Linked DNA regions of Drosophila melanogaster. The protein of the gene in region 2 interacts with the protein of the main gene of each other region in a pairwise test. Each region holds a gene or a part of one and is shown on either strand. Other genes may lie near its edges.

Evidence for each region. Proteins that work in one complex are often made in the same cells at the same time.
Region 1: the proteins of CG6791 (region 2) and Rgl interact in a two-hybrid assay, tested with the Drosophila melanogaster proteins (one large-scale study listed by BioGRID).

The regions. Positions count from the first base shown.
Region 1 is NT_037436.4:13,916,925-13,921,824, reverse strand, and holds the start of Rgl (Ral guanine nucleotide dissociation stimulator-like), read left to right. Parts: upstream 1-1,859; 5' UTR 1,860-2,631; coding exon 2,632-2,634; intron 2,635-4,900.
Region 2 is NT_033777.3:11,585,168-11,592,049, forward strand, and holds CG6791 (uncharacterized protein), read right to left. Parts: upstream 4,980-6,882; 5' UTR 4,644-4,979; coding exon 3,901-4,643; intron 3,847-3,900; coding exon 3,393-3,846; intron 3,336-3,392; coding exon 801-3,335; 3' UTR 531-800; downstream 1-530. Other genes in the region: jupiter, read right to left, coding at 6,001-6,140.

The DNA of each region.
Region 1 (4,900 bases), on a different chromosome or scaffold from region 2:
TACAACACCACCATCGGAAATTGCATCGCACCAGATTTTGAGCAGCACGCACCTTGAAGTAATTGCAGCATCTGGCCATCGTCAACGCTGCAGACTATAATGAGTCAAAATGTGGCCGACAGTTTGGTGAGTAGCTAAACCATTATCTTGTTCATGTACTCTAGTATATAGCAAGCGTAGAAAGTAACAGGGAAATGCATAGAAAGTCATTTTGAAAGTATCTCGCAGAGCACCGAACTTTGTGTGGAGGCTTTTTGCCCAGGTCTGCTAATTATTTGGTCAAATAGTCCGTAGACTAAGTTAATGAAAAATATGTTGCAACATTTTGATTAGAGTGGTGCCGAAAAATCGAATTAAAGAAATTTATAATTTATAATTTAATTTATAATTTTTGTGATATTTATTATCACGATCACAACACAAGAGCGGTTTTTTCGTATGACTAAAGTTTTGGAGCACAACATTTTTCATCTAAATATATATTATGACGTTTACGTTTTAAAATATTATTCTCCATACTTTCTGATAGGGAGAACAGCAATAATTTTAAATAAATTTACTATAGCTTTAAACCGTATTATTTTGACACCAACATCATGAAGCACATTGAGGGTCAATCTTTAATTGATCTCTTTTTCTAGCTTTATATAAAATTCGTTATCAGCATCACCAAGTGCATAACAAATATCAGTGCCTTTTTTTGTATTGAAACTTGTTGCATTCGCTAATTGATCAATTGACGTGCTCATGGTCTCGAATATTTATCCAATGTCTACAAGCAACAAACAAAACAGCAGGCATCGTTTGATTGGCGCTTACGTAAATGCACGTTTTATTAATATTTCTGCTTATTGATTTCCCCGCCAGCTTTCTTTAAATCGTTACCAAATACCAGACAACACTCAGGTATTCCCATTTCCATAATTATGTCATTCCAGTTCACATGTTTGAACGGTTGGTCAAATGATAGCCTAAAAAGCCAAACAAAACATGGAAGAAAATTATTTAAATTTCTTTGTTGGCATTAATCAAAAATTTGGAATAAAATCCTACAGGTTTAGGAGGCCCATAAATTCCATTGATAAATGTGAAGCTATAATGAAGACAAATGCTATTGTGGGGGTCAGTGTAAATATATACCAAAAAATACTAAAATTGACAGAGAGAGTTGAGAGAGAGTTCTGATTAGAAACAAACAAGCCAACAGTCAATTGCTCATCAGAAAAAACATAAACAGAGCGCGAATGGCCAGAGCAAGTAAGATTTTTATGTTTGTTCTGATACGACATATATATACCGTGTATTTATTTTAAGAAACTTATTTATTTATATTTAGCGTGTCAACAGTCACTAGGAAGAAGTTTTAAAGAAATTTGTTTAAATTGATTTAAAAGGCCAAGTTACCATAGTGCAAAAGAAATAAAATCAATTACCAATTCAATGGTAAATTGACAGTTTATCTGGAAAAAGTTCTATTTTAAGTTTATTGACTATAAATTGTGAGAATATGTAGGTGTTTTAAATTCGGAACCAATATTGGAATGCATTGTTAATGTTAACTGTGTTTTTGAACTTGTTCGATGCAACCAATATACCTTCACGCAAGGTGTAAAACCATAGTGGGTGTTTTGCTAGAAGTTCCCACGGTCGAAAACTTGAGTACCTGAGAAAAGCGAACGAGAGAGTGCAATTGAGAGAACGGGGATGCTACAGTTACATCCGTCGAGTAAGAACATCCCCCGAAAATGCTTGCGTTCTTAATGACAGAGAGTGGATCCCCGACAGAGAGAGCGTGTGGGAGAGAGTAAGCGAGAGTTGGATACAGACGATGGGGTTTCGGGCGGTCGTTTGTTCTAAGCGGGCAGAGTTCGTCTTCGACTGTTGTTGGCGGCGGTTGCGTCGCGTGTCTCTCTACCGAGAGCTTTGTGTGTGTGTCTCGCGCGCGTTTTACGCTCTGCGCCCCCTACGCTCCCCTTTTCCAAGTAGAGAAACCCCCGAATGTGAATTTTGTATAATGTTTTTGTAATAACATGGATATCTCATGTTGAGATTTTCAGCCAAGCGAATGAAAATGCAAGCGGTATCCCGAAAATTGCCGTTTACGTGTGTGCGAGTGCAGCATTAGCAAAAGGAAAAGAGATAAAAGTGAAAACAAATAAATAGTAGGGAAGACGTGCTAAAGCACGAGAGCAAAGAGGAGATTGCCAGGCAGACGCATAGACGTAGTGCAACGAACCCTTCTTCGCGGACCAAGGATTCACCACTTACCACTAACCGGAGAACAAATACCAATATTAACCCCCCCACCTCTACTGCTACTGGGTGTGTTTCTCTATGTCCCGTTGACTCATCGTTCCCAGGAAGCTGAACAACGGTATAGCGGCCAGAACACAGAAGCCCAGTACAAAAAAAGAGCAGCAGGAATATCGATTTTACTTGCCTTTTACTTATACAACACCCCCACCACCCATTGAACTGCACTTGGGTGTAAAAATAAAACACCAGAAGCCATTAAAGGAGACGTGTAAATTAAAGCGAACCGACGAGAAGAGGATAACGGATAGGAAAACCCAAGCAGTGCATCCGTGGAAATCTCAGCAACATTTCTCAAGGAACAAAAGCCAATCTCAAATGGTAAAAAAAAACAACGCAATCCATCAGGCCGGATTAGAAAGGAGCGCACTTTAGATCTATTGGTTCTTATCCTGCCCTTACAGTGGTCACTCGAACGTTGATACATTGAAATGTTTTTTTTTAACAATATATTTAAAACAAGTACATCATATTTCTGCAATAAGCAATACATCGGTAACAAACTCCTGATAAGATAAAAACATTAATGGCTTGAATTTTATTACTATTGACCCTCGCCCTTAAATCAACGACATGGATAATTATCGATAATGCGCACCTTTTTTTGTCCGAGAATTTTCAACCCTGAAAACTAGTTGCTGTGTACTTGATCTGGTTTTGTGTGGAGAGGGATTACTGTAGTGTCTTGGTGTCGATTCACAAGGAAATGTCAACAATGATTATGGGCAAAAATGCAATGGTATGGAAACTTTACGCCTAAGTGGAGTCCAGAAATAAAACACCTTCTTTTGGTGGGGAAGGAATAGGAATCGATAAAAGTCGGGAATTTTTTACAAGTTATAAATGAATCATATGGGAACTGCCAAGCTTGGAGAAGCTTTGTTTTGGGAGTTTCGAGAATTTATATGCTAATTAAAAAGCATTCAAAATTGGTATACTTATGCTTGGGAACAAATGGTGTAGGGTATTCTTAAGTGATGTATATAATTTGTTTCGCAGGTGAAAGATAACGAATTAAAGCTATGAATTTAAAGGTGAATCAGTTTGAGATCATTTCAGTTGCAGTCCCAGTTATATTTTCGTTTCTTTATCATCCATTTATGCGGAGTGCCCCTAGAAATCATTTATCAGCTCCCATTGTATGCAAAACAAAAGCTCCGCCCCCCACTTCCTTTACCCACTGGCGAATGATGGGGGAATGCATAAAAAAAATAATTTACGTGGGGAGCTATGCTCAGTGGCTCAAACTTTAGCTTAGGTTGATATGTTTTTGTATTGTTTGCACATCATCTCTGCTGCTGCCCAACGGATGTGGTTTGATAATAGCCGAAAGAGCGGGACAGCTGCTCTGCAGTAGAGACAGATACATATGTACATATACACGTTAAATAAAAGTTTTATTCGGATATGAATTATGGTTTTTGAAATTAAAAATTGCAACAGGATGTGGCATCGGTTGATATTCGTTATGTTGTAATATAGCGAAAAGGAGACATTAGGGATAGAATATCGAATGCCAAGTAATGCCTGTTCTATTATTTCTCATAAACACAAACGATGTAAAATCTTGATGGACCTGTGTTAGTAGGCCGATGCAATTAAATTTGATCATAATTCCCTTCATTTTTTTTTATGTGCACCGAGGGAGCAGCAAATGTTGTCAAGTTGACTGCGTCGGATGCAGTCGCATGTAACTGACAGTCAGTCAGAGTCATTTAGCCAGTCAGTCATTTAGTCAGTCAGTCATTCAGGGATGACAGAGGGAAGGGGGAGAGACTGGTGTTTAGTTTCAGTCGTTTTTTTCCCTTGGCGTTTTCAATTTTGTTTTGCGTTGTTTTTTTTTTGCCGCTGCTTCTGTTGCTGCAATTCACAAAACTCGTGCCAGGGGTCGTCGATTTAAAAATAGAGATTTGTGTCTACAATTGCGGTCAAAATAAATGCCTTTTCATTTTTCAAGACAAGCGAAATGTATTGCTTATTTCGGACACCTAATCTATTGCCGCCAAGAACTAGGAAATTCTCAAAGAACTGTTTTTACATCGATACAAATTGCAATACTTTTACCTATAAATCGAATATCTCAAACGGAATACTATTTTACTATCTCAGAGTCATGTTTCATCATTTAAATATTGATCCATTTCCTTAGATGTATTTTCACTTTTAATCTATCAATATTGTGACCTCAGCTGTATGGCTGTTTGTTGATAAATTCACCCCAAATGCAAATGCAGTACCATTTCGCTTTGATGTTGCGGTTCGACTCTCCTTTGTTTTGGTTTCTGGCTATTTTTGCGAAGATCTGTAATTGAGAGAAACCCCCCCTGGGCGGAAAAGCAGAAAACGCCACCCACACGCTTTTCTGGAGGAAAGGTCACCTGCTTTATATATAGACAGATGATGATGTGGGCCGACCAATCAGGCGCCCCCTCATACTTGGATGTTATTTCTTTATAATTGGGTGCCTTGTATACACAAACACGAATATGTTTGACAATTGCCCGTCGTCTGGCATTATAATACTATATTATTTCATTACTTAATGAGCTTTATTTCTGCCGCAGTTTTTTTTGCACGGGCTGGGTAT
Region 2 (6,882 bases):
TTGATATTTACCTACGATAATGCGTTACGAACGACTTCTGTTGTGCCCCCGAGCCTGAAAAGTTTGGAGATCAGTTTTGTGACTGGTCTAAGGCAAAAATAATATAAAACTTGAATACTAATAAAACAAAATATACCGAAACATTTGTTTTTTGTTGTTGTATAAGTAAAAGCATTCCAGAGAGTTAATTTAGAATTTTAAATGTTTTATTTATTAACATTAATCAAACAGCGCATAAACGCTCACGTGCATAGACCAACTTTTTCGAGACCAATTTCTTATTAGTCGAAGCAGTGGTGCTGAAAATATAATTATAATTTTGATAATATCAGTTACCGTTCATTGAGATTATATCGAAAATAAATAGCTTGGATTCTTAATACTAGCAATTAAAGAGTAGCCTACAGCTAAAAGTCCGTAATCAGAATTAGGCGGTGTCTATGGGTAAACTATACGAATACTCTAATTAATCTCTTGAATATCTGAATCCGTCTGCCACTGGAAGTACACAGGTGTTGTGGAAGTGGATTAGGTTATTTCGACTTGGGTCATAAAAACGGGCTAGCTTAGTGGCAAAACGTAATCTATGTTCGATTCGCAGAACTATTAAAATAAAAAACGAACACGGAATTTAAAAGTGAAATATACTTTCATGGTTTCAGTAAAAGACACTGCATAATACAATATGCAAATCGAATACACTCGCATTTTAAAATAAAATAAAAAAAAAACGGACGTGCATGATGGAAAGATTACATTTTGCCACTAGGATCCTAATTTAAATAAATCGAAAATTAATACTAGCCGAGCAGATACTGATCTTCGAATTCCACGTCGCCATCATCGTCCAAAAGATGTGGCGGCAGCGGCATATACGGTCCTGAGTCCTGACCAGTAGGGTTTTCACCATCATTGGTCTGCTCCGTGCCCTCCTCCTGCTCCTTCTCGTCCTGGATTATCTGCTCGATTAGTGATATCATCTCGGCATCCCCCAGGCCTGGATGGTGTTTACGAATGTGCTGTTGCAGCTCGCGGAGGCTGTGCAACTCACCCACCGCATCAGCACCGTCCGCACTGCTCTGCTTGCATAGTTTGCAACGGATGTAGGCCGCGTGGGGCAGGTGCTGGAATCGATGGAACTGTAGCACCCACTGTCGATTCGTCTCCAGTTCCTCATCACAGTCCTGGCAGCGGTAGACGTCTTCACCCACCTTTGTCATGTGCAAAAGTTCCAACTTGGTCAAGCCATGGTGGTCGTTGATGTGCTCCCGCCATTCCTTTTTATTGTGAGTTTTGAAATTGTCACCGCATTGCGGACACGTTAGATGGTAAATGGTGCTCAATAGCGTATCCTGGTCGGGTTCATCGTCATCGAATTCCCGGTGCGGACGATTGTCACACCGGTTAGTGTCGCGGTTCAAATGCTTGAAGAACATTTGTTTTCGCACAAACTCACCGCCGCAAGTCAAGCACTTGAAGGATCTATGGGGCAGGTGGCGGAACTTATGCGACTGTAGCTGCCCGATGGCGCCCTTGGTGTGCGTCACGGTCACCCGTTTGTAGCACTCCAGGCACAGGTAGTGATGGTTGTCGATCTGCCGAAAGTTGAGGCCCTCACGGCTGTTAAAGTTGTGCTGCTCCACAATATGTTTGCGCCAGAAAGCATGAGAGTCAAAGTTTTGATTGCACTTGGGACAAAAATACGTGATGAAGTCCAGGTCCACGGCATTGTGGTACGAGATACTGTCCTCCAGCGTGTTGAGACCAGCGGGTCGGGCTGGCAATCCACCAGGCTGTGGTTTTAAGGAACGACTACTTGCACTGGCTGCAGCAGAAGAGGAACATGCAGGTGGTGAGGGCGGTGCTGGTGCCAGTGCTGGAGCCGGTGGAGGAGAGGGCAATTTGGGGTTCTCCCTACTGTTATCCTTATAACGGCCGAGGACTTGTTTCGGTTTTGTAATCATCGTCGGTGTCTCCCTATCAAAAATGCTATGACGGGCTCTCAAATGCGCAGCTATATTCGGCTTATGATTGTAGCAGGTGCCGCAGATCAGGCACTTGAGGTACAGTCTGTAGGGCAGATGTCGGAAGTGATGATCCTGCAAGCCCTTCAGCTTCGAATTGCATACAATGTCCTTGCACTGGGTGCATTGGTAGCGATACTTATCCAACTGACGCATGTTTAGATATTGGCGCTTGTCAAAATTGTGCACCTCATTGATGTGACGGCGCCACTCGAACTGAGTCTTGTACTCAAATCCGCAGGATGGGCACAAGAAGATGTAATTTTGTTCTACGGTGGGCACGGATGGATCTGCAGAGCTCATCACTGGCTGTCGACGCCTTCTCACCACTGTCTTCCTGCACCGCTTTTCGCTAATATGAACACGGACGGCCGCCTGGGTGGCGAAGAGTGTGCCACAGTGGACGCACTTGTAGCGTTGATGATTTCCTTGAGTTGTTGGCTGTGGCGGCGGTGGTGGTGATGGTGGTGGCGGTGCAATTGGATATTCATCCTCTTCTGCCTGCATCTGTTCACCAAAGTCGTTATCCTCCTCCATGCCGCCTTGATCCACGTCGTCCAGATAGATTATCTCGTACGTTTCATTGGCTACCGTCACTATCTGTTTGCGTGGCTGCTTGGCGGGTGTGAGAATTGGAGCTGGGCATCCTCCCGAAAGCTTTCGTGGCCAACCAACCCGATGATGGGTGGCCAGATGCTTTACGAGACCCTTCCTGTCCGTGTAGGACTTGTGGCACTTGCGGCACCTGGCGTAGGCCTTGAATGGAAGATGCGTGATCCTGTGTTGCTGGGCATTCTGGATTCCATACGCATTGGTTATGATCTTGTCACACTCAGTGCACTTAAGCTGCCGTTCGTTTATCATCTCAAAATTAAGCTTGCTCAGATCGTTCATGCTGTGCGCCATGACCACGTGGGTGCGCCAGTGCTTCTTCTCGATGAATTCTTTGCCGCACTGCGGACAGAGGTAGTCGATGTGAGGCTCGAAAATGTCGTCGCTGCTGATGCGACCGCCGCGTCTGGGTGCGTCTTCAAAGTAGGGCGAGTCCTCGTCCAAAGGGGCGCCATTTCCCTCGCCGTTTCCATTGTCCCCGTCGCATTCATCCTCTATGGCCGAGGGAGCGTCACCATCCTCCTCCTCTGCGTCCTCCGACATAAGCGTATCCATATGATGCTGCTGCAGCAGATGTCTGATTATTTCCTGATGATCCGTGTAACCCTTGTAGCAGAGTTTACAGCGCAGCCACTCAGGCTGCGACAAATGGCTGAATTTGTGGGCGCGAAGTGATTTAATGGTATTGGGAGTCACAATCTGAGATAATAAAAAATAATTGATTCAGCAAAGTTTGGTTTATAAATCGAAACTCACCTTTTTGCACTCGAGGCACTGCATTTGCATGTCCACGCTTCGGAAATTAAGTCCCCTTCGGCTGACGTAGTCGTGGACGAACTCGATGTGCTGGCTCCATTGGGCGTGGGTGTCGCAGTCGGTGCCGCAGTCTGGACACATGTAGTGTATGTAATCCTCGCACAGTTCGGCTGCTCCTCGAGTACCAGCCTTTTTCTTGGAAACCTCTTCAGACACGGTCTGCTCCTGGGTGCCAGACTCATCGGCATCCGGTTCGAGCAGCTCATTCCGAACCTCTATGCGATCAGATTCCTCCCCAAGGTCATCATTCTCTCGGAAGCTCTTCTCCCGCAGCAGCTGCTCGGTGCGAGACTCTCGAACCCGTGTCTTCCGCCCCGCCGCATTGTAACCCTCCCGCATCATGGCCACGACTTCATCGCAATGGACCATGCGAAGATGAACCATAAGATCTTGCCTTTAAAAGACATTACTATTAAGGAAGGGCTGAATAGGATACTCATTACCGTACCTGTATTTGTACTCCCGTTTGCAGATGTAGCACTTGGTGCACCTGAAGGGCAGGTGCGTGAACTTATGCTTAAGCAGGTTTTCCCGGCTGTGCATGGCAATCCGCTTGTTGCACTCCCTGCACCGCTGATAGAGCTTGTCCAGCGGCGTAAAGTTCAAGCCACGTAGAGTGTTGTATTTGTGAATGTGGTTCATGTGCCGCTTCCAGTGGTCCTGTTGCCGGAATTCACCACCGCAGGCGGGGCAGATGTAGACTACGCCCAACTCATAGTTAATTGGCACTCCGTTCTCGTCCGTTGCATTGATCTGCGAGGTGGTGGGTCGTACAGACAGTCCGGAACCCAATCTGGGTCGACCCCCAGCTCCCGGGAATGAGTGTCGCTGCATTGGCGGACGCACTTGTTGGCTCATGGGTCCAGCAGGAGCCAACGATGGACGCTGTGGCTCCGCTATATCTACAATAGGTTCCATATTAAAATCAAAGAGCGCATCATCGTCGGGATCTGGTTGCTTTGGCTCCTTGGAGTTCTTTTCGTAATCATCCTCCTCCTCCCTCTCATCCTCTTCGGCATCCAGCAGGTCATCGATGGCATCGCCTGAATCAAGGATCGCCGTATCGCCTAGGAAGTCATCATTGCCATTCCCGTACTGCTCGCTGTCCTCCAGTTCCGCCACCCCGCTCTCCGCCTCACCCTCCTCGAAGTCGGACGAGAACATCGACGTCCACAGATCCATGCCCTCCATCTTTTGGCTGGGAAGAGGCTTTTCTGCGACAGCTCGCGTCGTCAGTGGCTCTTCAATGTGTGAGTGCGTATGCGTGAGAACTAGTTTTCGTATCCTATATGCCACAATTGGCAATAACGACGACGGCTGTCTGGTTTTTCACTTGGTAGAGCTCTTCTGAGGTGTTGCGCACACCAGGTTCCATCTTCACAGTCGGTGCAGCAGCACACACCTCACTGGGTCCTTTTGCATCTGCGTTTAGCCCACTGGGGCAGCGGAAAAATGGCCAAAACTAAAACTTATTGTAGTCTGCAAAAATCAGAGCCATTTTGTTTGCGGCGTCGCAGAGCTACGGGCCGCAAATAAACTGGAACGGCGTTGCACGGTGTTGCCAGACCAAGAAAGTGAACATCGATAACCCACAGCATGTCAATCGATAGCTTATCGACGATTTAAGCTTATGGGCGCGAAAAATTAAATGTTTCTTGAAAACTAGTTTTTAACTTCAGCTTAGGACCTCGGTCAAAAGGTTATTAACTCCAAACAATTTCCGTCCAGCCCGACCACTTTTCTAAATAAGGACAAAAAGGCATGTTATGTACGAAAGGTTTTTATTGAACAAATATTCGCGCTTGAATTTTGTATTTTTACACTTAATTAGCACGTGCACATTAGAAAGTGCTGTCGTACCGTTTAAATTACATATTTAATGTAATGTAATACAATGTTTATAATGTATGTATGTATGTGTTTTCGTGAGTGTTCGTGTGAATGCAGTTGGTATAAATATAAATATATGTGGCGTGTAGTAGCAACTAAAATAAAATCCATGTGTGATCAAAGGACTCCAACAGGCCGCCACCGCTCGCATCCTTGCTTCTCGCTTGCTTCACACGTAAGCACACACCGGGTTGATGAATATCATATATATAATATATCTGCAGTTGCAGAGGGCAGGCGATCGGGCGTCGTTTTGTGGGGCTACACGCGTTACATGGATTTACACCAACTAAGGAATTTAAATTACAGATTTGCAATGGGGTGGTGGTGGTGTTGGTAGTGATAGGTTTGGGTGCAACGCCGCCTTCTAAAATTGGTTGATTAATTCTCATCTGGGAAGCGTATCGTACTATTGCATCTGCAGATCGTTGAGCAATTGCTATTCTCTCGCTTAATTATTCGTTGGCCATCATGTCCTACTTTCGTGCCTTTCGATTTTCTGACCTGGATACGGGAGTGTAGGGTTTTATGCGTATATTAGATGGGTAGTATGATTTTTTTTGCTTGTTTTGTTGGTTTTTTTTTTTTCTTATAGTGTCTCGTCCCGCCATCGGCTCCTCAATTGCTTGTGCTGGGATCTGAGCAATTCCGGCTGTCATTACCACAGGCCCGACGAGTAGCCGCCTGGGGGAATGCGGTTCTTGTTGATCACCGGAGTGCCGCCATTGGACGACTCCTGGCGCTGGGAATACTCGTTGGCTACGACCTTGTAGCCCTCGCCTGTGACGGGGTTGCCCTCTGTGAAAACAAAGGAATATCATTAGAAAATTTGACTACTTAGAATGCAAACTAGGTGTATAAAATCAAATTGGTTTCTAAGAATCCGAAATTAAAGCGCAACTAATAAAAGTACTTGGGGATTGGCTATGTTCGTTTGGAGTTTGGAGTATGGAATTTCAGACGGAAGCGACAACCAGAACCAAACGCCCACCTCGGATCTTTAGCTTCTTGGGCTTGAGGCCGCCAACACCATCTCCGTTGAGGCCGAGGCCCGTGATCGGATTGCGTGAATCGAGTTTGGAGCACGCCTGCTGCTCCTCCTTAATCTCGTTTGGACAGAGCCCAAGGGGCTCCTTTACATTGCTCACGCCTGCCATCTTGTTCAGCGAGTATGGCTGTTCGGGATTATTTCCAGAGTCTCGCCGAGTTTGACAGCCCTCGTTCACCTGATCGGACTTTGTGACTGTGCTGTTATCTGCCGGCACGTCTCCAACTTCGCTATCTCGGCACGAGTTATCAATGGATAGGGCGTCGTCAGCCGGTGGAATTGGCGTTTCGGTTCGAGCCGGTTCTGGGGGACACAAGGATACGCGTGGGGATGTTTCTTTGGTGTCTGGTCTTGCTGTTGGAAGAAGGAGCGGGGAGGCAGGCGAATCGGGGATGAGGATGAGTCCTTAAAGGACACTGGACACTACAAGTACTCACTGCTCATATTGCGGAAGACTGACGCGATACGATTCAACAGACACAATTGGTTATT